Linked DNA regions of Anolis sagrei. The main gene of each other region encodes a partner of the protein of the gene in region 2 in a complex. Links are inferred from orthologs where the notes say so. Each region holds a gene or a part of one and is shown on either strand. Other genes may lie near its edges.

Region 1 (7,316 bases), on a different chromosome or scaffold from region 2:
TGACCCATACACATTATATGCATAATAAATAGAAGAGCTGAAAATATAAACAGGTAAAAAGCAACAAATGTAAATAAACAACAAATAGAGCAGATTAATAAGTACATAGTCAGTTTAGTAAAAACGGACAAAGCAATACATATAAATATAGGCCACAAATACATAAAAAGTAAATAATAGCTATAAGAGACCCATAGTAATATAGATGGGAGGATATGTGTGTTTATGTGTATGTGTGTATGTATATATATGTGTGTGTGTATATATATATATATATATATATACCATATATACTTGAATATAAGCTGACCCGAATATAAGTCGAGGCACCTAATTTTACCACAAAAAACTGCAAAAACGTATTGACTTGAGTATAAGCTGAGAGTGAGAAATTTAGCTTGTACTGGTAATCATCAGTAGGTTAAATGTTTTTGAGTATTTACATACAACTGTAATTTAAGATAAGACTGCCCAAATCTGATTAAACCATTATTCTAACCTCCTTCAATGCAAATGTGCTTACCTATTACTAATAATGATAGAGTAGAATAATAAATGCAATAACATGAAATAAAAATAATAATAGAGTAAATAATAGAAATGTAATAATATTGGTAATAATAAAGTAATAAAAGCAATAATAACAATAATAGAGTAAAATAATAAAAGCAATAATAATAATAAATAGAATAAAATAATAAATGTAATAAAATAATAATAGAGGAAAATAATGTAAGTGTAATAATAATAATAGAGTAAAATAATAAATGTAATAAAAATAATACTAATAACAGAGTAAAATAATAAATAACCTTGACTCGAGTATAAGCCGAGGGGAACTATTTCAGCCTAAAAAAGGGGCTGAAAAAATAGGCTTATACTGGAGTATATACAGTGACTAAAAAAATAAAAATAAAAAGAGAAGCAAATACTAATAAGAAATCATAAATAAATCAATAACTAATATAACAAATATTAGCAATGAACAAATATAATATTAAATTGATCGACACAAATAAAAAGCAATGGATATAAATAATATAAACAAAGTGTTAATACTAAATAACAAATATAAATATAATGGACATTAATAAATAGCTTAAAAGATAATAAAGATAAATATAAATAGTGAATAAATAAAATAAAAAGCAATGGATACAAGGAATATAAATAAATTTCAAATAATAGATATTATAAATAATATAAACAATAAATTGTAAACATATAGATAAAAACAAAATATAATAAATATTAAGAAACAGTTACGAAATAAAGAAATAAGATAAAAAATCAATACTGTCGATACAAATATTATATTAATAAATTGCAAATAAATAAATAAATAATAACTTTTTTTTTGTTCCCCGCCTCCATCTCTCCAAAGGGACTCGGGGCGGCTTACAGATGGCAGAGTGTGCCTAAAACAATGCATAATAAACACACAATACAAGATAACCAATATTCCAAATAATAAACATTAATAGTGAACAAATATAATTATAGATAAATTAGTACGCAATACATATAAATAATATTAATAAATTACAATGAATAGATAACGAACATTATAAATAATATAAGAATCCTTAATCATTAATTATTAATAAATAGAGAATATAATGCAATATAAATAAATTATAAAGAATAAATGATGAGTATTCCAAACAATATATTAAACAGTAATAAAAATGCGTAGATAAAAAAGCAACTGATATCAATAATATAAATAAATAATAGTTAAGAAGTTTTATAAATAATATAAACGGTAATAGTGAACAAATATAATACGAATAATTACGGTATCTATATAAATAAAAATGTTATGTTTGTTTGTGGGATTAACAGAACTCAAAAACCACTGGACAAATTGACACCAAATTTGGACACAAGACACCTAACAACCCAATGTATGTCCTTCACTAAAAAAATTGATTTTGTCATTTGGGAGTTGTAGTTCCTGGGATTTATAGTTCACCTACAATCAAAGAGCATTCTGAACCCTACCAATGATGGAATTGAACCAAACTTGGCACACAGTTCTCCCATGACCAACAGAAAATACTGGAAGCGTTTGGTGGGCATTGACCTTGAGTTTTGGATTTGTAGTTCACCTACATCCAGAGATCACTGTGGACTCGAACAATGATGGATCTGGACCAAACTTGGCATGAATACTCAATATGTCCAAATGTGAACACTGATGGAGTTTGAGGAAAATAGAATCTTGACATTTGGGAGTTGTAGTTGCTGGGATTTATAGTTCACCTACAATCAAGGAGCATTCCGAACCCCACCAACAATAGAATTTGGCCATATCTCCCACACAGGACCCATATGTGGGCCACAGCAACGCGTGGCAGGGGATGGCTAGTAATAGATAAAAATACAAAACACTGCACATAAATGCATATAAATAACAAATAATTTGAAATAAACAATGTAGCAAAAATAAATAATATAACAATAGATGAAATTAGGAAGCAATGGATACAACAAATATAAATGGTAAAGAATTAGATTAGATTTATTCTAAATAATATAATAAACCATTAATACACAGTGAACAACTAGACTAATGGTAAAAGATAGATACAAAATCAAAAGGAATGGCTCCAAAGAATCTAAACGCATTGAGAAGGGGAAAGATGACACTCCAAGATGAGGCGGCGGGAGCTCACCTCGTCCTCCTTGTGGTTGCGGATGCCCCTCACGAGGTCCTGCAGGTTCTTGTCAAACATGCGGTCGATGCTGCCTTTGACCATCTTCAGAGCCATGGCGGCGGAAGGAGGAGGAGGAGAAGGAGAAGAAGGAGGAGAGGAAAGCCGCCGCTGGACTCGAGGCGGGTGGGGAAAGGCTGCTTCCAGCAACACCGGCGGCGAGAAGGCAGTCCTCGGCCTTAAAGGCGCGCTCCCATCCCGGGGCGGCGGCCGCCTCCAGTCCCTTCTTTCCTGCCCCTCCGGCGCCGCTTCTCTGAGGCAATTAAAATGGCAAAATGGCGAAGAGTCAGCTGAGAAGAGGAAACTCAAGCCGCGCCCCCTTTTTGCGCGACGGCGTCAGCACGCAAGAGCGCCGGCTGGAAGCCCCGCCCACTTCATACTAACTAGGATTAGCACGCAGGCGGCGACTGCTGGAAGCCCCGCCCTCTTTTAGCCTCACCAACGTCAGCACACAGGCCGCGCCCGAATGGAAGCTGAGAGCCACGCCCCCTTTTGATGCCGGCTGACGTCATCACGAAGGTGGTTCCTGGCTTTTCAATATTCACCGTCAGTACGCCACGCCCCCTTATATGCCCACCAATGACAGCATGGAGGCGGCGCCCTGTTGAAAGCCAAGCCCCCTTTTGTTGCCCATCAGCACGAAAACATACCAAGCCACCTTGTCTCTCTCCTGAGGAATCTGTACAACAGTGGTTCTCAACCTTCCTAATGCCATGACCCCTTAATACAGTCCTTCATGTTGTGGTGACCCCCAACCATAATATTGTTTTACTAGGTTCTTGTGGGTTTTTTCGGGCTATAGAGCCATGTTCTAGAGGCATTTCTCCTGACGTTTCGCCTGCATCTATGGCAAGCATCCTTAGAGGTTGTGAGGTCTGTTGGAAGTAGGAAAATGGGTTTATATATCTGTGGAATGGCTGGGGTGGGGCAAGGAGCTCTTCCCTGCTGCAGTTAGGTGTGAATGTTTAGCTGATCACCTTCATTAGCATTTGAAGGCCTGCTTGAGCCTGGGAAAATCTGTTGCTGGGAGGTGTTAATCTGTGCCTGGTTTTTTCCTCTCTGTTGTTTAGCTGTTATAATTTTAGAGTTTTTTAATACTGGTAGCCAGATTTTGTTCATTTTCATGGTCTCTTCCTTTCTGTTGAAATTGTCCACGTGCTTGTGGATTTCAATGGCTTCTCTGTGTAGCCTGACATGGTGGTTGTGAGAGTGGTCCAACATTTCTGTGTTCTCAAATAATATGCTGTGTCCAGGCTGGTTCATCAGGTGCTCTGCTATGGCTGACTTCTCTGGTTGAAGTAGTCTGCAGTGCCTTTCATGTTCCTTGATGCGTGTCTGGGCAATGCTGCGTTTGGTGATCCCTATGTAGACTTGTCCACAGCTGCATGGTATACGGTAGACTCCTGCAGAGGTAAGAGGATCCCTCTTGTCCTTTGCTGAACGTAGCATTTGTTGGATTTTCTTGGTGGGTTTGTAGATTGTTTGTATGTTGTGTTTCCTCATCAGCTTCCCTATGCGATCAGTGGTTCCCTTGATGTATGTTTAATATAATATTGTTTTCATTGCTACTTCATAACAGTCATTTTACTACTGTTATAAATCATAATGTAAATATCTGATATGCAGGATGCATTTTCATTTACTGGGCCAAACTGGGCACAAATACCCAATACACCCAAATGTGAATGCTAGTGGGGTTGGGGGAGGATTGATTTTGTAATCTGGGAGTTGTAGTTGCTGGGATTTATAGTTCATTACAATCAAAGAACATTCTGAACTCCACCAATGATAGAATTGGCTCAAACTTCCCACATGGAATCCCCATGACCATCAGAAAATACTGTTTTTCTTATAGTCTTTGGCGACCCCTCTGACAACCCTTCGCGACCCCCTCAGGGGTCCCGACTCCCAGGTTGAGAAACACTGCTGTACAAGGACCAAGTAGCAACAGTCAGAACTGACCACGGAACAACAGACTGGTTCAAGATTGGGAAAGGCGTACGGCAAGGCTGCATCCTCTCACCCAACCTTTTTAACGTGTATGCAGAACACATCATGCGATGTGCGGGGCTTGATGAATGCAAAGCTGGGGTGAAAATTGCTGGAAGAAACATTAACAACCTCAGATATGCAGATGACACCACTCTGATGGCCGAAAGCGAGGAGGAGCTGAGGAGCCTTCTAATCAAGGTGAAAGAAGAAAGCGCAAAAGCCGGGTTGCAGCTAAATGTCAAAAAAACCAAGATTATGGCAACAAGAATGATTGACAACTGGGAAATAGAGGGAGAAAATGTGGAGGCCATGACAGACTTTGTATTTCTAGGCGCTAATATTACTGCAGACGCAGATTGTGGCCAGGAAATCAGAAGACGCTTACTTTTTGGGAGGAGAGCAATGTCCAATCTCAATAAAATAGTGAAGAGTAGAGACATCAGACTGGCAACAAAGATCCGCCTAGTCAAAGCCATGGTATTCCCTGTAGTAACCTACGGATGTGAGAGCTGGACCTTAGGGAAGGCTGAGCGAAGGAAGATCGATGCTTTTGAACTGTGGTGCTGGAGGAAAGTGCTGAGAGTGCCTTGGACTGCGAGAAGATCCAACCAGTCCATCCTCCAGGAAATAAAGCCCGACTGCTCACTGGAGGGAAAGATACTAGAGACAAAGTTGAAGTACTTTGGCCACATCATGAGGAGATAGCAAAGCCTAGAGATGACAATTATGCTGGGGAAAGTGGAAGGCAAAAGGAAGAGGGGCCGACCTAGGGCAAGATGGATGGATGGCATCCTTGAAGTGACTGGACCGACCTTGAAGGAGCTGGGGGTGTTGACGGCCGACAGGGAGCTCTGTCGTGGGCTGGTCCATGAGGTCACGAAGAGTCGGAGACGACTGAACGAATGAACAACAACAACAAGCACAAAAACAGTACTTATTTATTTATCACTAGCTGGAGCCCCCGGTGGCACAGTGGGTTAAACCCCTGTGCCGGCAGGACTGAAGACCAACATGTCGCAGGTTCGAATCCGGGGAGAGGTGGATGAGCTCCCTCTATCAGCTCCAGCTCTTCATGCGGGGACATGAGAGAAGCCTCCCACAAGGATGATAAAAACATCAAATCATCCAGGCGTCCCCTGGGCAACATCCTTGCAGACGGCCAATTCTCTCACACCAGAAGCGACTTGCTCCTAACACGACCAAAAAAAAATCACTAGTTGTCCCCTGACACACGTTGCTGTGGCCCAGTCTGGTGATCTGGAAAATAAAGTAATGAGAAAGTGTTGGTTTCTAATAATAATAATAAAATAATAATAATAATAAAACTTCCCATCTCCCCAAGGGACTCGGAGCGGCTTACATGAGGCCAAGCCCAACCATACATCAATAAACAACAACAATAAACAAAGCAGAAAATACAATACAATTAATATAAATCACATATAAACAATAACCAATAAACAGTAACACACAAAATTTTAAAAACCTATGGCCGGACCAAATGTAATGGTTTAAAAATTAAAAAATAAACGCTGGGCATGAACAAGGTCAGATATAACTGGTATAGGGTTTTCAAAGAGAGATGAGGGAACGCAGTCAATCCTGACCAGTAGTAAAGTGCATTCTGAGGGCATATTGCTGAAAGTTTTATAATAATAATAATAATAATAATAATAATAACAACACTTTATTTGTACCCCGCTACCATCTCCCCAAGGGACTCGGTGCGGCTTATATGAGGGCAAGCCCGCAATACATCAATAAACAGAACACCAATAAAATAAAACATCAATAAACAATCAATGCAATATAAATCATAATCACATAAACAAAATAAACAATAAGCAGTCAACAGTAACATATAAACATTTAAAACCAATGGCCAGGCCAAATGTGATAGATTAAAATTAAAAAAATAGTGCTGATGTGAACCAGGTAGGATATAATTGGGATAGGATTTTTAGAGAGAATGAGGGAATGCAGTCAATCCTAAAGCAGTAGTAAAGTGCATTTTGAGGACATAATGCTGAGAGTTTTCCCTATTCTGGGAAGGCACACTGGAACAGCCACGTTTTCAGGCTCCTCCTAAAGACTGCCAGAGTTGGGGCATGCCTGATGTCCTTGGGAAGCGAGTTCCAGAGTCGGGGGGCCACCACCGAGAAGGTCCTCTCTCTCGTCCCCACCAATCGCGTCTGCGAAGGAGGTAGGAGTGTGAGCAGGGCCTTTCCAGATGATCGAAGAGATTGTGTGGGTTCGTACACAGAAATATGGTCACGCATTTGTAATTTCTTTATGCTTGTGGGAAAACAGTATTTCTTGTTGTTTCTTTGTCAGTGTTGATGTGGAGATTGTCAGGTTTGCCTACTCTGGAACATGCAACAGCCACGAGAGTATCGAGAATATCTCTCTCGATATTAGGAAGCTATTTCTTGATTTAAGTGGCTGGTGTGCTGGCTAATATCCAAACAGAGGATGGGCCGGAGATGTCACTGCCTTGGTCCTTTCATTACAGTCTGCTACTTTCTGACAGTTGTCAGGTGATGCAAAACCAGCTAAACAGTATAATTCCTACAGCAGTGTAGGGCGTAGACATCCTGTGATAGTGTG
Region 2 (7,773 bases):
TATCTGGGATATATGAGCTCCTGGTGGCGCAGTGGGTTAAACTGCTGAGCTGCTGGCTCCCTGGCGATTCGAATCCAGGGAGCGGGGTGAGCTTCCACTGTCAGCCCCAGCTTCTGCCAACCTCGAAGTTCAAAAACATGCAAATCTGAGTAGAACAATGGGTACCACTCTGGCAGGAAGGTAATGATGCTCTATGCAGTCATGCCAGCCACATGACCTTGGAGGTGTCTATGGACAACGCCGGCTCTTTGGCTTAGAAATGGAGATGAGCACCAGCCCCCAGAGTTGGGGCTACAAAGTGGAGTAAACGTCATGCGAGTGTGGAGAAGAGCACAGAGCACCTAATACAGTGCAACCTGAGCTCTAGGAGCCCCTGGTAGCGCAGTGGGTTAAACCCCTGTGTTGGCAGGACTGAAGACCAACAGGTCGGAGGTTCGAATTCGGGGAGAGCATGGATGAGCTCCCTCTATCAGCTCCAGATCCTCATGCGGGGACATGAGAGAAGCCTCAGATAATGTGGGATTTTATTCAGCTGTGTGGAAGAGGCCTCCACACAGCCCCCCCTGCATGGATGAAGAAAGACAATGCCCAATAAACGAGTCTTCCCTTCAACCCACAATATCTCTCCCTTATGCAGGGCAATGCATAAGGGAGAGATATTTTGATGATAGCTTAAAGGTAAAGGTTTCCCCCTGACATTAAGTCCAGTCGTGTCTGACTCTGGGGGTTGGTGCTCACCTCCATTTCTAAGCCGAAGAGCCGGCGTTATCCGTAGACACCTCCTAGGTCATGTGGCCAGCATGACTGCATGGAGTGCTGTTACCCGCCGGAGCGGTACCTATAGATCTACTCATATTTGCATGTTTTTGAACTGCTAGGTTGGCAGAAGCTGGGGCTAACAGCGGGAGCTCACCCCACTCCCTGGATTCGAATCAGCGACATTTCGATCAGCAAGTTCAGCAGGTCAGCAGTTTAACCCACTGTGCCACCAGAGGTTATATAATCAAAATACGTAGTATATTTTGTATACATAAAATATATAGTGTATGCATGTGTGTGTATATATATATATATATACACAAACACACACATGTATATACTAGCCATTCCCTGCCGCGCATTGCTGTGGCCCAGTCTGTGTATGTTTTGTGTGTGTGTATATGTGTGTGTATATGTTTGTGTATATGTGTGTTTATGTATATATGTGGTTTTGTGCATGTGTTGTAATGTGTTTTTTGTTTTTTAAGGTCTCTTATGCTGTGTTTTTCAGTGTCTTTATGAGTGATGGTCACTTGTTGGCCTGATAGATGTCGTGTCCAAATTTGGTGTCAATTAATGCAGTGGTTTTTGAGTTGTTAATCCCACAAACGAACATTACATTTTTAAAAATATATAGATATATGTTGTTGTTCGGTCGTTTCTGACTTTGTGACCTCATGGACCAGCCCATGCCAGAGCTCCCTGTCGGCCTTCACCACCCCCAGCTCCTTCAAGGTCAATCCAGACACTTCAAGGATACCATCCATCCATCTTGCACTTGGTCGGCCCCTCTTCCTTTTTCCTTCCTTTCCCCCCAGCATAATTGTCTTCTCTAAGCTTTCCTTTCTTCTCATGATGTTGCCAAAATACTTCATCTTGGCCTCTATTATCCTGCCCTCCAATGAGCAGTCAGGCTTTATTTCTTGAAGTAAGGACTGGTTGGACCTTCTCGCGGTCCAAGGCACTCTCAGAATTTTCCTCCAACATAGTTCAAAAGCATCTATCTTCATTCACTCAGCCTTCCCTATGATCCAGCTCTCACGTCTGTAGGTGACTATGGGGAATACCATTGCTTTGACCATGTGGATCTTTGTTGCCAGTGTGATGTCTCTACTCTTCACAATTTTATCAAGATTTGTCATTGCTCTCCTCCCAAGAAGGAAGTGTCTCCTGATTTCCCGGCTGCAGTCTGCATCTGCAGTAATCTTTGCACCTAGAAATACAAAGTCTGTCACTGCCTCCACGTTTTCTCCCTCTATTTCCCAGTTGTCAATCATTCTTCTTGCCATCATATTGGTTTTTTTTATGTTTAGCTGCAACCCAGCTTTGTACATACACTATATATAGATATATATAGTACTAGCTGTCCCCTGCCATGCGTTGCTGTGGCCGTCTGTTGATCTGGAAAATAAAGTAATGAGAAAGTGTTGGTTTCTAATATATGCAATTTCTTTATGCTTGTGGGTAAACAGTATTTCTTGCTGTTTCTTTGTCAGTGTTGATGTGGAGAGTGTCTGGTTTGCCCACCCTGGAACATGCAAGATATCATTGTCCTTCTTTAAGGGTCCCTTTCAAATCTATGATACTATATCTCTGTGTGTGTGTGAATAACATCTCTCTCTCTCTCTCTCTCTCTCTATCTATCTGAGTCCACAGTGCTCTCTGGATCTATCTATCTATCTATTTATCTGTATGGCTGGATGGCTCTTTGTCAGGAGGACTTTGATTACATTTTCTTGCCCTGGAGAAGAGAGTTGGACTGGATGGCCTTAAGTATTTTCTGTTGGTCATGGGGGTTCTGTGTGGGAAGTTTGCGCCATTTCTGTCATTTGTGGGTTTCAAAATGCTCTTTAATTGTAGTGAACTATAAATCCCAGTAACTACAAATTCCAAATGTCAAGGTCTATTTCCTCCAAACTCCATCTGTGTTCATATTTGGGCATATGGAATATTCATGCCAAGTTTGGTCCAGATTCATCATTGTTTGAGTCCACAATGCTCTCTGGATGTTGGTGAACTACAACTCCCAACCTCAAGGTCAATGCCCACCAAACCCAAGGATACCATCCATCCATCTTGTCCTTGGTCGGCCCCTCTTCCTTTTTCTTTCCATTTTCCCCAGCATTTTCTGTTGGTCAAGGGAGTTCTGTGTGCCAAGTTTGGTTCAGTTCCATCATTGGTGGAGTTCAGAATGCTCTTTGATTGTAGGTGAACTATAAATCCCAGTAATTACAACTCCCTATGCTGGGGAAAGTGGAAGGCAAAAGGGCCGACCAAGGGCAAGATGGATGGATGGCATCCTTGAAGTGACTGGACTGACCTTGAAGGAGCTGGGGGTGATGACGGCCGACAAGGAGCTCTGGCGTGGATTGGTCCATGAGGTCACGAAGAATCGGAGACGACTGAACGAATGAACAACAACAATGACAAAATCAATTTTTGAGTGAAGAACATATATTGGGTTATTAGGTGCATTGTGTCCAAATTTGGTGTCAATTCATCCAGTGGTTTTTGAGTTCTATTAATCCCACAAACGGACATTACATTTTTATTTATATAGATAGAAGATTGTATACATACAAAATCTTCAACAGCCAGACAGTGAGTATTTCCCCTGGCAACATGGTTCTGGATTTTTCACCAAATCCTTATAGCAGTGGTTCTCAACCTGGGCCCCCAGATGTTTTGGCCTTCAACTGCCAGAAATCATAACAGCTGGTAAACTGGCTGGGATTTCTGGGAGTTGTAGGCCAAAAACATCTGGGGACCCCAGGTTGAAAACCACTGCCTTATAGCCTATGACTCTGGAGACCAGGGTTTAAATGTCTATGGAAACTCACCGAGTTACTTTGATCAAGTCACACTTTCTCAGCCTTAGAAATCCAAAACCATGCTTCTGGGGAGACAGTTTAAGTGGCTGAGGAGGAAAAAGGAAGGGCCTGAGGCCAGGCCTGTAGCGAGGGGGTGGTTTTAGGTGTTCAAACCCCCCCTGAAATGTTTCAGATTTTTTTTAAAAAAAACCCTGGTTTACTCATGAATTTTGACTGGTTAACCAAATCCCCATGCTAAGTCTATGAGATGCAAAAAATTAAGAGTCCCTCCAGAACTGTAAGCACTATCTGAAGCAAATATTGACAATTTATTCACACTGTCATTACCTGCAGCAATAGTGGATGTAGTGAAGCAACCAAGTTGGGGGGGGGGGGTGTTGAATGCTCTCATTAAGGAGGCCAGACTTGGTGGAGGTGGTTGACAGGGGCGGAGCTGCGGGCTATTGAAGGTTGCTCTGCCCCCTGCTGTGCTCTTTGCTTCAGCATGAGCTAGGAGGCAGGTTTCAACACCCCCAGGGGCGGCTCACCCATTACGCAAAGTAAGCATTTGCAGTATAGTTGATTTAGCCCAGGGGCGCTCTTGAGGCGCTCTTGGGGGAAAATAGACCTTGACATAAGCGAGTTGTAGTTACTGGGATGTATAGTTCACCTAAATCAAAGAGCATTCTGAACTCCACCATTGATGGAACTGAATCAAATATGGCACACAGAACTCCCACAACGAACAGAAAATATATATCAGTGATTGGTTAGGGGGGGGGGGGGGGCTCCAAAATACTGTTTGCTTACTTTGAAAATTACCTAGGGCCGCTTCTGAACACCCCCCCCCGTGAAATTTTCAAACCCCCCCCCCCCAAATTTCAACCCCTCCCGAATTTTTTTTCTGGCTACGGCCCTGCCTGAGGCTGTTAGGAATGGTGGAAGTTGGAAGTCCAAAACACCTGGAGGGAGGGAGGGCCCAAGTTGGCCCAGGCCTGGCCTGGAGTCGGGGGCTCTGCCTACGTGGCAACAAGAGCGCGAGCGCGATAACGGGACCGCCTTCCTTCCTTCCTGGCGCTCGTGACTGCCTTTGGGCGCTTAAGGAGGAAAGGAGGAGCCCCTCGTGACAGTGGGCGGAGCTTATGGAAATTGAGGGGGAAGGGCCTTGCGTTCCCATGACAACGGCGGCGCTGGAGAAAATCCCATTCAGCCGTTCTTCCCCTCCCACTTCTCCCCCCCTCCCTCCTTCGAGGAGCACGTGACCAACATTGGAGTGCTGCTTGCTTGCCGTCAGCTTCCGGGACGAGCCGGATTGTGTCTGTGTGAGGGAAGCAAGGAAGGAAGGAAGGAAGGAACAGCGGGAAGGCGAGGCCCAGGGAGAAAGCAGCGGCAAGGGAAGCGACTCTCACGGGAACATGTCGGCTAACAGTGTCGGCTACAACGACCAGGCCGGGGATGCGCAGGCGGAGGTGGGCCAAGAGGCGACGCCCACCACCGCTTCCTCCTCTTTGCCGGCGGCCTTCGGGCTCTTCAGCAGCGACGGGAAGAAGTAAGTGGCCAAGCGGGAGGGAAGGGAACACACGGGCCATCCAGTCCAACCCCCCTGCCATGCAGGAAAAGCACAATCAAAGAAGCCCCGACAGATAGCCATCCAGCCTCTGCTTAAAAGCCTCCATGGATCCTTCCACCACACTCCGAGGCAGAGAGTTCCACTGCTGAACAGCTCTCTGTTCCACACAGCCCTATATCCCAGAATATCAAGGCAGAAAATCCCACAATATCGCCTTTGAACTGCGTTATCTGAGTCCACATTGCCATATAGTCCAGCCCTATATCCCAGAATATCAAGGCAGAAAATCCCACAATATCGCCTTTGAACTGCGTTATCCGAGTCCACATTGCCATATAGTCCAGTTCATTGCAGATAATGTGGGATTTTATTCATCCCACATTATCTAAATGGTTCTGGCCCGACCTATCTGTCCGAACACATCTCCTCCTATGAACCAGTTAGGACATTAAGATCGTCTGGGGAGGCCCTGCTCTCGGTCCCACCGGCCTCACAAGCACGCCTGGTGGGGACGAGAGACAGGGCCTTCTCAGTAGTGGCCCCCCGGCTGTGGAACACCCTTCCTACAGACATTAGATCGGCCCCCTCCTTATTGGCATTCCGGAAGAGAGTGAAGACCTGGCTCTTTGAACAGGCTTTTAACTAAGCAGTGCCATTGATTGATTACTGGAATATGGATTAATGGACAACGAGATCGGGTGCTGATTCTATTGACGAGACGTGATGGATTGTTGTTTTGCTGTATTGTTGTATTGATGTTTTGATGTTAGCTAATTGATATTACTGTTTTAAATGATTAATGATTTTGTACTGCGTTGTTGATACTGGTTGTTAACCGCTCTGAGTTGCCTGATGGCTGAGAATAGCGGTATACAAGTGAAATAAATAAATAAAATAAATCTGTGTGGAAGTAGCCTCACTGCCAGGAAGTTGTTCCTGATGTTCAAGTGGAATCCCCTTTCCTGCAATTTGAACCCATCGCTCCCTTCCACACAAATGAATAAAATCCCAAATTATCTGCTCTGCACTGTGGGCCCTTCCACACAGCCCTATATCCCAGAATACCAAGGCAAAAAATCCCACATCTGAGTGTGGAGTTAGACAACCCAATTCAAAGCAGATATTGTGGGATTTAGTTCCTTGATATTCTCCCATATAGGGCTATGTAGAAGGGCCCTGTAATATATGGCATTGTGGACTCAGGTAACTAAGGGCCCTTCCACACAGCCATATAACCCAGAATATCAAGGCAGAAAATCCCACATTATCTGAGTGTGGACTTAGATAACCCAATTCAAAGCAGATATTGTGGGATTTAGTGTCTTGATATTCTCCAATATAGGGCAGTGTAGAAGGGCCCTGTAATATATGGCAGTGTGGACTCGGATAACTAAGGGCCATTCCACACAGCCATATAAACCAGAATATCAAGGCAGAAAATCCCACATCATCTGAGTGTTAAAGCAGATATTGTGGGATTCTCTGCCTTGATATTCTGGGGTAGAGGGCTGTGTGGAAGGGCCCATAGGACCCTTCTGCACATTCCTATATCCAGAAAAATCCCACAATATCTGCTTTGAACTGAGTTATCTTAGTCCGCACTCAGATAATGTGGGATTTTCTGCCTTGATATTCTGAGCTGTGTGGAAGGGCCCTTAGTCTCCAGGGTAGCAGAAAATAAGCTCACCCCCCCCCCCTCAATGGACAGTCTTTCAGATGTTTAAACATGGCTGTCATGTCCCCTCTTGGCCTTCTTTTCCCCAAATTAAACATACCCAGCTCCTTCAGCCGCTCCTCGTAGGGCATGGTTTGTATGGGAACACCTTGCACGAGAAGAATATGGAGCCTCCAGTGTTGCAGCGGGTTAAACTGTGGAGCTGCTGAACTTGCTGAACAAAATATCTGTGGTTCAAATCCGGGGAGTGGGGTGAACTCCTGCTGTGAGCCCCAGATTCTGCCAACCTTGTAGTTCGAAAACATGCAAATGTGAGTAGATCAACAGGCAGCACTTTTTCAGGAAGGTAACGGCACTCCATGCAGTCATGCTGGCCACATGTCCTTGGAGGCGTCTTTGGACAATGCCAGCTCTTCGGCTTAGAAATGGAGATGAACATCACCTCCCAGATTCGGACACAACTAGACTTACCTTTACTTTACGAGAAGAATAAGTCGCTCAGGGTGTATTTGTGCTAAACAGTTATATTGATTTGAAGGCCCTTAATTCCATCGCATCAAATCCTGTGATTTGTAATAATTATCTGGCTCCATTTCAAGGCATCCTATGATTTGTAATAAAGGGTCCATCCGCAATGTAGAAGTAATGCAGTTTGACAGCATATCTAAGTGCCCTTGCACAGTGCTATGCAATCCTGGGAGGCCTCTTCCACACAGCTGAATAAAATCACACACTATCTGCATTGAACTGAACTATATGGCAGTGTGGATTCAGATAACCCAGTTCAAAGTAGATATTTTGGGATTTTCTGCCTTGATATTCTGGGATATAGGGCTGTGTGGAACGGCCCTGTGTTGTGACCCTCCTTGAGCCATGGGGAGAGGCGTGTAAGAAATAAAAATTATTATTATTATTATTATTATTATTAATATTATAGGGGGAGGTTATTTTTTTGATGT
Region 3 (7,683 bases), on a different chromosome or scaffold from region 2:
AGACAAAAGAGTAGGAGGTCCACTGCCGTCATGGGCAGTTGCTTTTAAATGTATTTGTAGTGAGTGTGTTAGGTAAGTTAGGTGATTGTCAAGTTGTAAAATTGTGTATTATTATGTATGACACGTATGATTGTGATTATGTCATTGTCATTGGCATAAATGGAAATTGAAAGACAAACTTAATTGAAGTTAAGAAAGTGCTATCAAATACACTTTCCATGCTTTTAGGTGGAGCTCAACATGAACAGGCTCTCTTATGCATGTTTTTCCTTCTTTCAATGAAATGCATGGAGTTTGCTTAAAAATCAGTACTGTCAGCTGCCTATACACACACACACACACTTTCATTTTATTTTGGGAGTGCATTAATGCAGCACTTAGTACAAAAAGAGGAATTGGATTATACCTCATCCTGCACTAAATCTCATCTGAACAAACCTCTGATGCTGTCCATTTGGATTCCTCTAATTGCAAAATCTTCTGAATTAATAATCTATTAATAATCTATGCACAAAGTTCACCGTTCTGCCAGGCGTTCATTCTTTCATCTCTCTAACAAAAGACACAAAGTGCCTCACCACACTACAGCATGGATCCGGTTTCTGCCTCCTGCAGAATTCTGGGGTTTGTAGTTTAGTGAAGCCCAGGACCTGTCTGGCTGAGCATTTCAAAAGCCCTTCCCCTAAACCACAAGCCCCAGAATTCTGTAGGAGGCAACAACTAGATTTAAAGTGGATCCATGCTCCATGATGAGATCCTTTGAGGATAGCTAATATGATCTGCTCTTCACAAGCTTTTCATTTCCTAGTCTCATTCTATATCTTCATTATTTTTAAATAGGCTTTTTGGTGTCAATAAAGAAGATTTTAAAGTCGCCTTCGGGCTGAGAGTGGCGGTTAACAAATGCAAATAATAAATAAATAAATAAATAAATAAATTTAAAGATTTGTTTTGATTTTTTTTTAAAAATGCCTTTTTACAAACTTTTTTGCATACAAGTATTTATTTATTTATTTATTTACTTTGCTTATATACCGCAATTCTCAGCCCATGGGCTGAGCAACCATGGGCTGTATCACATAATGACCAGACAGACTACTGCAGCCTTCCAGATGCTATTGGACCAGTTTCTATCAGTTTCTCTCAGCAATACCCCGCACTGACACTGCATGTCATACCACAAGGGGGGGAACCACCGAGAAGGCCCTTTTCCTCGTCCCCACCAGACGTGTTTGAGAGGCTGATGCGACCGAGGGCAGGGCCTCCCCGGTGGATCTTAAACTACGAGGCGGAACGTTGAGGGAGATACGTTCGGACAAGTAAGCTGGGCTGGAGCCATATTATTAGTAGTAGTAATATTACATATAATATAAATATATCTATATATATATAAATGCTCTGTACGTAATGAGTACCTTAAAAACAAAACAAAAAACCTACTGGGCCAAATGACCCCAAATTTGGCAACAAAACTCCTCACAATCCAAGGAGTGACCATCACTGAAAAAAAAACCCACAAAAATACCTTTAAATTAAAAATATTACTATATTAAATAGACTCATAGAATAGAGTTAGAAGGGACTCTACCATAGGATTGCAGAAGAACAGACAGGAAGGAAGGAGAGAAGAAAGGAGGGAGGGGAAAAGGGAATGAATGAAGGAGGGAAAGGGGGAAGGAAGGAAAGAGAGAAGGAGGGAGGGAAAGAAGGAAGGAGAGAAGGGAAGAGGGGAGGAAGGGAAAAAAGAGGTACCGAAGGAAGGAACAATACAAAGTAGAAAGGAAAGAAAAAGGGGAGGAAAGGCAGGAAAGAGGTAAAGAAGGAAGGAGAAAAGGAAATAAAAAGTGAAAGAAGGAAGGAAACAGGGAAGAAAGGAGACAAAGGAAGAAGTAGAGAAAGGGGGAAGGAAGGAAGGAAAGAGAGAAGGAAGGATGAAACCAAAGTGGAAGAAGGAATGAAAAAAGAGGTAGAGGAGGAAGAAAGGAAAGGGGAAGAAAAAAGGGGGAAGGAATAGGTAGGTACCGCTCTTTCATAACAGTCCAGATATCTACCTCTACTTCGAAAATTCTTACTATAGGCCACAGCAATGCGTGGCAGGGCACACCTAGTATAATTATAATATTAGTAGTAGTAGTAGACGTAAATATATGTCCTAAACGGTTTGAGACCCGCCTACCTGCGTGACCGCATCTCCGTATATGAACCCACACGATCCCTCCGTTCATCTGGAGAGGCCCTGCTCATGATCCCACCTGCGTCACAAGTGCGTTTGGTGGGGACGAGGGACAGGGCCTTCTCTGTGGTAGCCCCCCGACTATTGAACTCTCTCCCCAAGGACATCAGACAAGCCCCAACGTTGGCAGTCTTTAGGAGGAGCTTGAAGACCTGGCTGTTCCAGTGTGCCTTTCCAGAATAGGAAACTCCCAGCATCATGTCCCAAACGCACTTTACCAGAAATTTAAGATTGCCTGCACATTGCACCTACCCTAAAATCCTTACATTTCACCAGTCATGTCCAGCACTTTTAATGTATTCATTACATTTGGCCCGGCCCTAGTTTTAAATGTGTCATGATGTATTGTTCTGATGTTTTACTGTTACTGCTTTAACGTTTATTGGTTTGCTTTACGAGTTTTATTGTTGTATTTGTGATGCTGTTGTTTTATTGAGGGCCTTGGCCTTTGTAAGCCGCACCGAGCCCTTTGGGAGATGTTAGTGGGGTACAAATAAAGATGATAATAATAATAATAATACCATAGTACAGGCAACAAGGTGGAACTGTCCTCTGCCCCCCTCAATGTGGACTCAGATAACCCAGTTCAAAGCAGATATTGTGGGATTTTCTGTGGTTATAGGACTGTGTGGAAGGGTCCTAAGTAATCAGTCCACACTGCTATATATTCCAGTTCAAAGCAGAAAATGTGGGATTGTATTATTTATTTATTTATTTATGGCATTTATATGCTGCCCTTCTCACCCCAAAGGGGACTCAGAGCGGCTTACAAGGTATTTTATTATTATTATTATTATTATTATTATTAATTAAACTTTATTTGTACCCCGCTAGCATCTCCCGAAGGACTCGATGCGGCTTACAAACGCCAAGGCCTCAACACAACAGCAGTAAACAACAACAATACAAAAGAAAGCAAATTAAAAAACATATGCAATAACAAAACATTACACTATTACACAATAAAAACCATGGCCGGGCCAATGATGGGTACAGGTTAAAAAGTGCTGGGTGTGACAGGAGGTGTATTGGAATTCTGGGCAAGTGCAATGTGCAGAGAGTCTTAAACTCTAGTAAAGTGCTTCTGGGACAAAGTGCTGGGTTATCCTATTCTGGAAAGGCACGTCGGAATAGCCAGGTCTGGAAGTTCTTCCTAAAGACTGCCAACGTGGGTGCTAGTCTAATGTCTTTGGGGAGGTCGTTCCAAAGTCGGGGGGCAAACACAGAAAAGGCCCTATCCCTCGTCCCCACCAAGCGCGCTTGCGACGCAGGTGGGATCGCAAGCAGGGCCTCTCCAGATGACCGAAGGGAGCGTGTGGGTACATAAGCGGAGATGCGGTCACGGAGGTAGGCAGGTCCCAAACCGTTTAGGGCTTTGTAGGTAAGCACCTGCACCTTGAATTGGGTTCGGTAGGTAAACGGCAGCCAATGGAGCTCCTTATACATACAATATATTATATTATTAGCATAGTACAATATCAGTTTTAAATATTGCTATATTGTACTATACCAATTAAGCTGTGTGGAAGGGGCCAAAGTGTCCTCAAACTGCACTCAAAGTATGGTTTAGATCTGTGGTTCCCAACTTTCGTCCTCCAGGCGTTTTGGATTTCAGTTCTCCTAATTCCAAACTCGCTGGGAGTTGAAGTCCAAACCAAAGGGAGGGCCAAAGGATAGGGACCACTGTTGTAGATGCCCCAATGGCGAAATGTCGGCCCCCCTGCTGAGAAAGGAAGAAAGGCATGCAGGCAGGCTCCCAGGCCGCAGGAACAATGCATCCCCGCCTTCCCAAGTGGTTACTGGGCAACCGGGCCCTTCACAATAGCGGCCGCTCCAACTCTGCAGGAGCGCGAGGCAGAACAGGTGGTATCCCGCAGCGCCGAGCTCCAGGCGTTCGGACTTCAATTCCCAGAAGCCTCCGCTGCTTGGGCCAATGGCCGGGGATTCTGGGAAACGGAGTCCAAAGCCCTGACAGACCAGAGTTTGGGGACCGTTACTGGAAGGGCTTCTCTTGGAGGTGCCAAACCTCCCACTGAACGGCGGAGGAAGGGGCCGGGGGCCGGGAGAAGCCTTCTCCCTCCCTTACCTCAGCCGGGCCGGCTCCAGCTTGGGCTTCTTGGCGCGGGGCTCCTCCGCTGCCATCTTCACGCCCGTCCTGCGCGAGACTGGTGCTTTGGCGGAGGGGAGGGGGGAAAGGAGGAGGAGGGCCGCCCCGTCCTGTCCCTTTCGGGGAAGCCGGCTGAGGGGAAGAGGGGCTGTGCAAGGAGAGTGCCTGCTCCGGAAAGGCCCCCCACGCAGGCCCTTCAAAGCGGGTTCGTGGAAGCCTGTGTTTCCTTTGCCACGCTGAGCAAATTATAAAGCATTCCTCTAATCAACCGAAAGAGGCGCCTCGGGGTCGTGAGGGCGGGCGCCTGACTTTCGGCGCAGGCAATTAGCGAGGACGCCCTGCTGGGGCGGGGCGGGGGCCTCGCAGCCATCTTTGGCCAGCGCCACTGCTCTTGCTGCTCTCGCTGCTGTGCTGGCACCGACGCCGCCTCCACCAGCCGAGGGGTGAGTCCTCCAGAGGGGCCGGGGAGGGCGGCCCGGGTAGAGAAGAGGCCCCGCTGCCTCTGGCCATGGCTTCGTGCCGCCCTCCAGGTCCAGGAAAGAAAGACACGCGTCTCTTTGCCAGCCTTCAAGGGGCCTGTGGGTGGGTTCAAGGCTGCCACACAGGGGTGGTGGAATAATACAGTTGGAAGGGACCCCAAGGGCCATCCAGTCCAACCCCCTGCCAGGCAGGGAAAGCACCATCAAAGCAACCCCGACAGGTGGCCAAAAAGAGTGCCACTTTCAGGGCATTCATAGAACCATAGAGTTGGAAGAGATCCCAGAGGCCATCCAGTCCAATCCCTTGCCAGGCAGGGAAAGCACCATCAAAGCAACCCCGACAGATGGCCAAAAAGAGTGCCACTTTCAGGGCATTCATAGAATCATATTGGAAGAGACCCCAAGGGCCATCCAGTCCAACCCCCTGCCAGGCAAGGAAAGCACCATCAAAGCACCCCTGACAGATGGCCAAAAAAAGTGCCACTTTCAGGGCATTCATAGAATCATAAAGTTAGAAGAGACCCCAAGGGCCATCCAGTCCAACAGCCTTTCAGGCAGGAAAAGCACCATCAAAGCAACCCCGACAGCTGGCCAGAAAAGTGCCACTTTCAGAGCATTCATAGAATCATAGAGTTGGAAGAGATCCTAAGAGCCATCCAGTCCAACCCCCTGCCAGGCAAGGAAAGCACCATCAAAGCACCCCTGACAGATGGCCAAAAGGAGTGCCACTGTCAGGGCATTCATAGAATCATAGAGTTGGAAGAGATCCCAAGGGCCATCCAGTCAAACCCCCTGCCTGGCAGGAAAAGCACCATAACAACAACAACAACAACAACTTTATTTATACCTCGCTCCATCTCCCCCATGGGGACTCGGTGTGGCTTACATGAGGCCACGCCCATCAGTACAGTACACACAATATAACACAAAAACATAACAAAACCAGAAAATAAAATACATAAAATGCAAAACCAATATAATAAGCGACACAACAATATAAAATGAAGCATTAAAAACAACATCAAAGCACCCCCGACAGATGGCCATCCTCTATTTAAAACCTTCAAGGAAGGAGCTTTCACCACACTTCGAGGTAGAGAGTTCCACTGTTGAACAAATCTTACAATCAGGAAGTTCTTCCTAACATTCAAGTGGTATCTCCTTTCATGATTTGGTTTGTTTTTTGGGTCAGGGTGACTTGAGAAATGGCAAGTTGCTTCTGGTGTGAGAGAACTGGCCATCTGCAAGGACGTTACCCAGAGGATGCCCAGATGTTTTACCATCATGTGAGAGGCTTCTCTCGTGTCGCCGCATGAGAAGCTGGAACCGATCGACGAGAGCTCACCCTGCTCCCCGGATTTGAACTGCCGACCTTTAGGCCAGCAGTCAGTTTGATTCCTCTTTGTCTGACCCCATCAGGCCCTGCTTTGCTCACAGAGGAGGGCTGGTGCCTTCTGGGTAATAAGACAGGTTTAGTGCTCATCAAGAAAAAGGAGGGGACACTGCTTGGGCAATGCAAGTCTCTTGGGAGCGAAGCAGGGCCTGATGGGGTCAGAGCAAGAGGAACGAAACCTCTAAAGCTTCTACAGGAGCCGATCACCTTGTAAAAGAGGTGGTTGACTTCTGGTCAGAAAAGAATTCATTGATAATTTTATTAAATTACAATTAGTTTGCATGTCATGATAAAAAAATAAGTATATTGCCTTGCCTTATGACTTACAAAGGAAACTATTTAATTTTGCCTTAGTAATGGAACAATAATACTAATGAACAATGCAAGGAAGGAAGAGGAAGGAAACGAGTTAGTGGCCATTTTGTACCTCAAAGAAGTTGGTTTGTCTGTGAAGAATCCATGTAGTTGAAACCTCAGAACCAAAATTTGCTTCCTTATGTGCTGGAAATCTTATTGTAAAACTATTAGAGTTGGACCAGTACTGATTTACCATTGAGTAGTTGATTCACTGGGCTTCATCATTAATAGGCTCTCGCTGTATCATTGTCTTCCAAGGGCAGAGTCTTTCAGTCCGCAAATTACTGTAGAGACCTATGTTGGGTCCACATGGTATTTCATAATAGGAACAAATGTCCAGATGGAAGGCAGTCCCAGCAAGAGTTTTATTGGCACACCTTCCTCTTGGCACATTTCTCCCTTTTGCCCCCACCCCCCATTCATTTTTCCACAAAATCCATAGCACTGTTGGTAACAGCTGACCTCCAGTTAGCATTTTGCTTGAAGACCAGGCTTCCCAGCTGTCGGTTTACTATTGAGCAGTTGATTCACTGGACTTAGACTGGTTGCATCTAGCAATTTGATTGAGACATGTATTTCTGTAATGTGTCATCTAGATCAGTAGATCTAGATGATCTACTGATCTTTGGCCTACAACTCCCAGAAATCCCAGCCAGTTTACTAGCTGTTAGGATTTCTGGGAGTTGAAGGCCAAAACATCTGGGGACCCACAGGCTGAGAACCATTAGTTTAGATAAATTAAACTGAAGGTTGTGTCTGTGTCAGTCTTGTGCCAGATTTAAAAGAGAAAAGGTGGTGTTCATGTGGCCTGCTGTTTTCTCTAAAGCTTTGTAGTCATGATCTTGCTTTAGTCTTGTATACTTTTTGGAAAATCTGTATTGTAATACTTAGAAACAACATATTTTGCTAGTTCTAGAAAACACTTCCTTAAACTATCTATACAGGTAGAAATGGTGATTGAAAGATTGCTATTCAATATTTTTATATAATTCTCTTTAAAAAGAAAAAAGAATCATTGGGAAACAAATGAAGCACATCAAAAGAATTCCTCTGGCATCTGTTTTGATTATTTACTTTTGGTTAAAAGCAGGTGTCAGTGAGACCTAGAAGGCAA

The links. The genes of interacting proteins can lie anywhere in the genome.
Region 1: the proteins of AP3B1 (region 2) and AP3D1 are in contact, whole or in part, in a cryo-EM structure (PDB 9C5C), measured with the Homo sapiens proteins. The link is inferred for Anolis sagrei from reciprocal best matches to the Homo sapiens genes AP3B1 and AP3D1. Residues at the interface, in NP_003655.3 of Homo sapiens: Asn75, Lys466, Lys467, Gln470, Val494, Ala497, Ser498, Trp501, Leu531, Leu534, Gln535, Asn538, Lys542, Asn567, Tyr568, Asp569, Asp572, Arg573, Arg575, Phe576, Ile577, Gln579, Leu580, Lys586, Gly588, Ala589, Leu590, Ser591, Tyr593, Lys596; in NP_003929.4 of Homo sapiens: Lys352, Leu442, Ile446, Ser471, Tyr483, Trp487, Glu491, His517, Ala520, Val521, Gln524, Asn525, Lys528, Val561, Gln562, Ser563, Ala564, Leu566, Glu567, Gln569, Glu570, Arg571, Ser573, Cys574, Gln577, Leu578, His581, Ile582, Leu585, Lys588.
Region 3: the proteins of AP3B1 (region 2) and AP3M1 are in contact, whole or in part, in a cryo-EM structure (PDB 9C5A), measured with the Homo sapiens proteins. The link is inferred for Anolis sagrei from reciprocal best matches to the Homo sapiens genes AP3B1 and AP3M1. Residues at the interface, in NP_003655.3 of Homo sapiens: Leu60, Lys64, Val67, Gly68, Ile70, Ala71, Lys72, Gly73, Ile92, Glu93, Lys96, Leu97, Val100, Arg104, Glu107, Asn128, Gln129, Leu130, Arg137, Arg143, Ser163, Pro164, Tyr165, Lys168, Asn169, His172, Gln175, Lys176, Leu202, Ser206; in NP_001307192.1 of Homo sapiens: Met1, Phe15, Leu16, Glu17, Trp20, Lys21, Ser22, Val23, Gln26, Val42, Glu43, Asn44, Val45, Pro46, Pro47, Val48, Ser50, Tyr55, Ser58, Ile59, Tyr60, Gln71, Thr72, Glu73, Val74, Pro75, Pro76, Leu77, Phe78, Ile80.

The regions. Positions count from the first base shown.
Region 1 is NC_090034.1:51,490,167-51,497,482, forward strand, and holds the start of AP3D1 (AP-3 complex subunit delta-1), read right to left. Parts: upstream 3,010-7,316; 5' UTR 2,775-3,009; coding exon 2,679-2,774; intron 1-2,678. UniProt on the Homo sapiens protein: Part of the AP-3 complex, an adaptor-related complex which is not clathrin-associated. The complex is associated with the Golgi region as well as more peripheral structures.
Region 2 is NC_090022.1:265,418,420-265,426,192, reverse strand, and holds the start of AP3B1 (AP-3 complex subunit beta-1), read left to right. Parts: upstream 1-4,768; 5' UTR 4,769-4,984; coding exon 4,985-5,118; intron 5,119-7,773. UniProt on the Homo sapiens protein: Subunit of non-clathrin- and clathrin-associated adaptor protein complex 3 (AP-3) that plays a role in protein sorting in the late-Golgi/trans-Golgi network (TGN) and/or endosomes.
Region 3 is NC_090023.1:148,570,359-148,578,041, reverse strand, and holds the start of AP3M1 (AP-3 complex subunit mu-1), read left to right. Parts: upstream 1-4,674; 5' UTR 4,675-4,783; intron 4,784-7,683. UniProt on the Homo sapiens protein: Part of the AP-3 complex, an adaptor-related complex which is not clathrin-associated. The complex is associated with the Golgi region as well as more peripheral structures.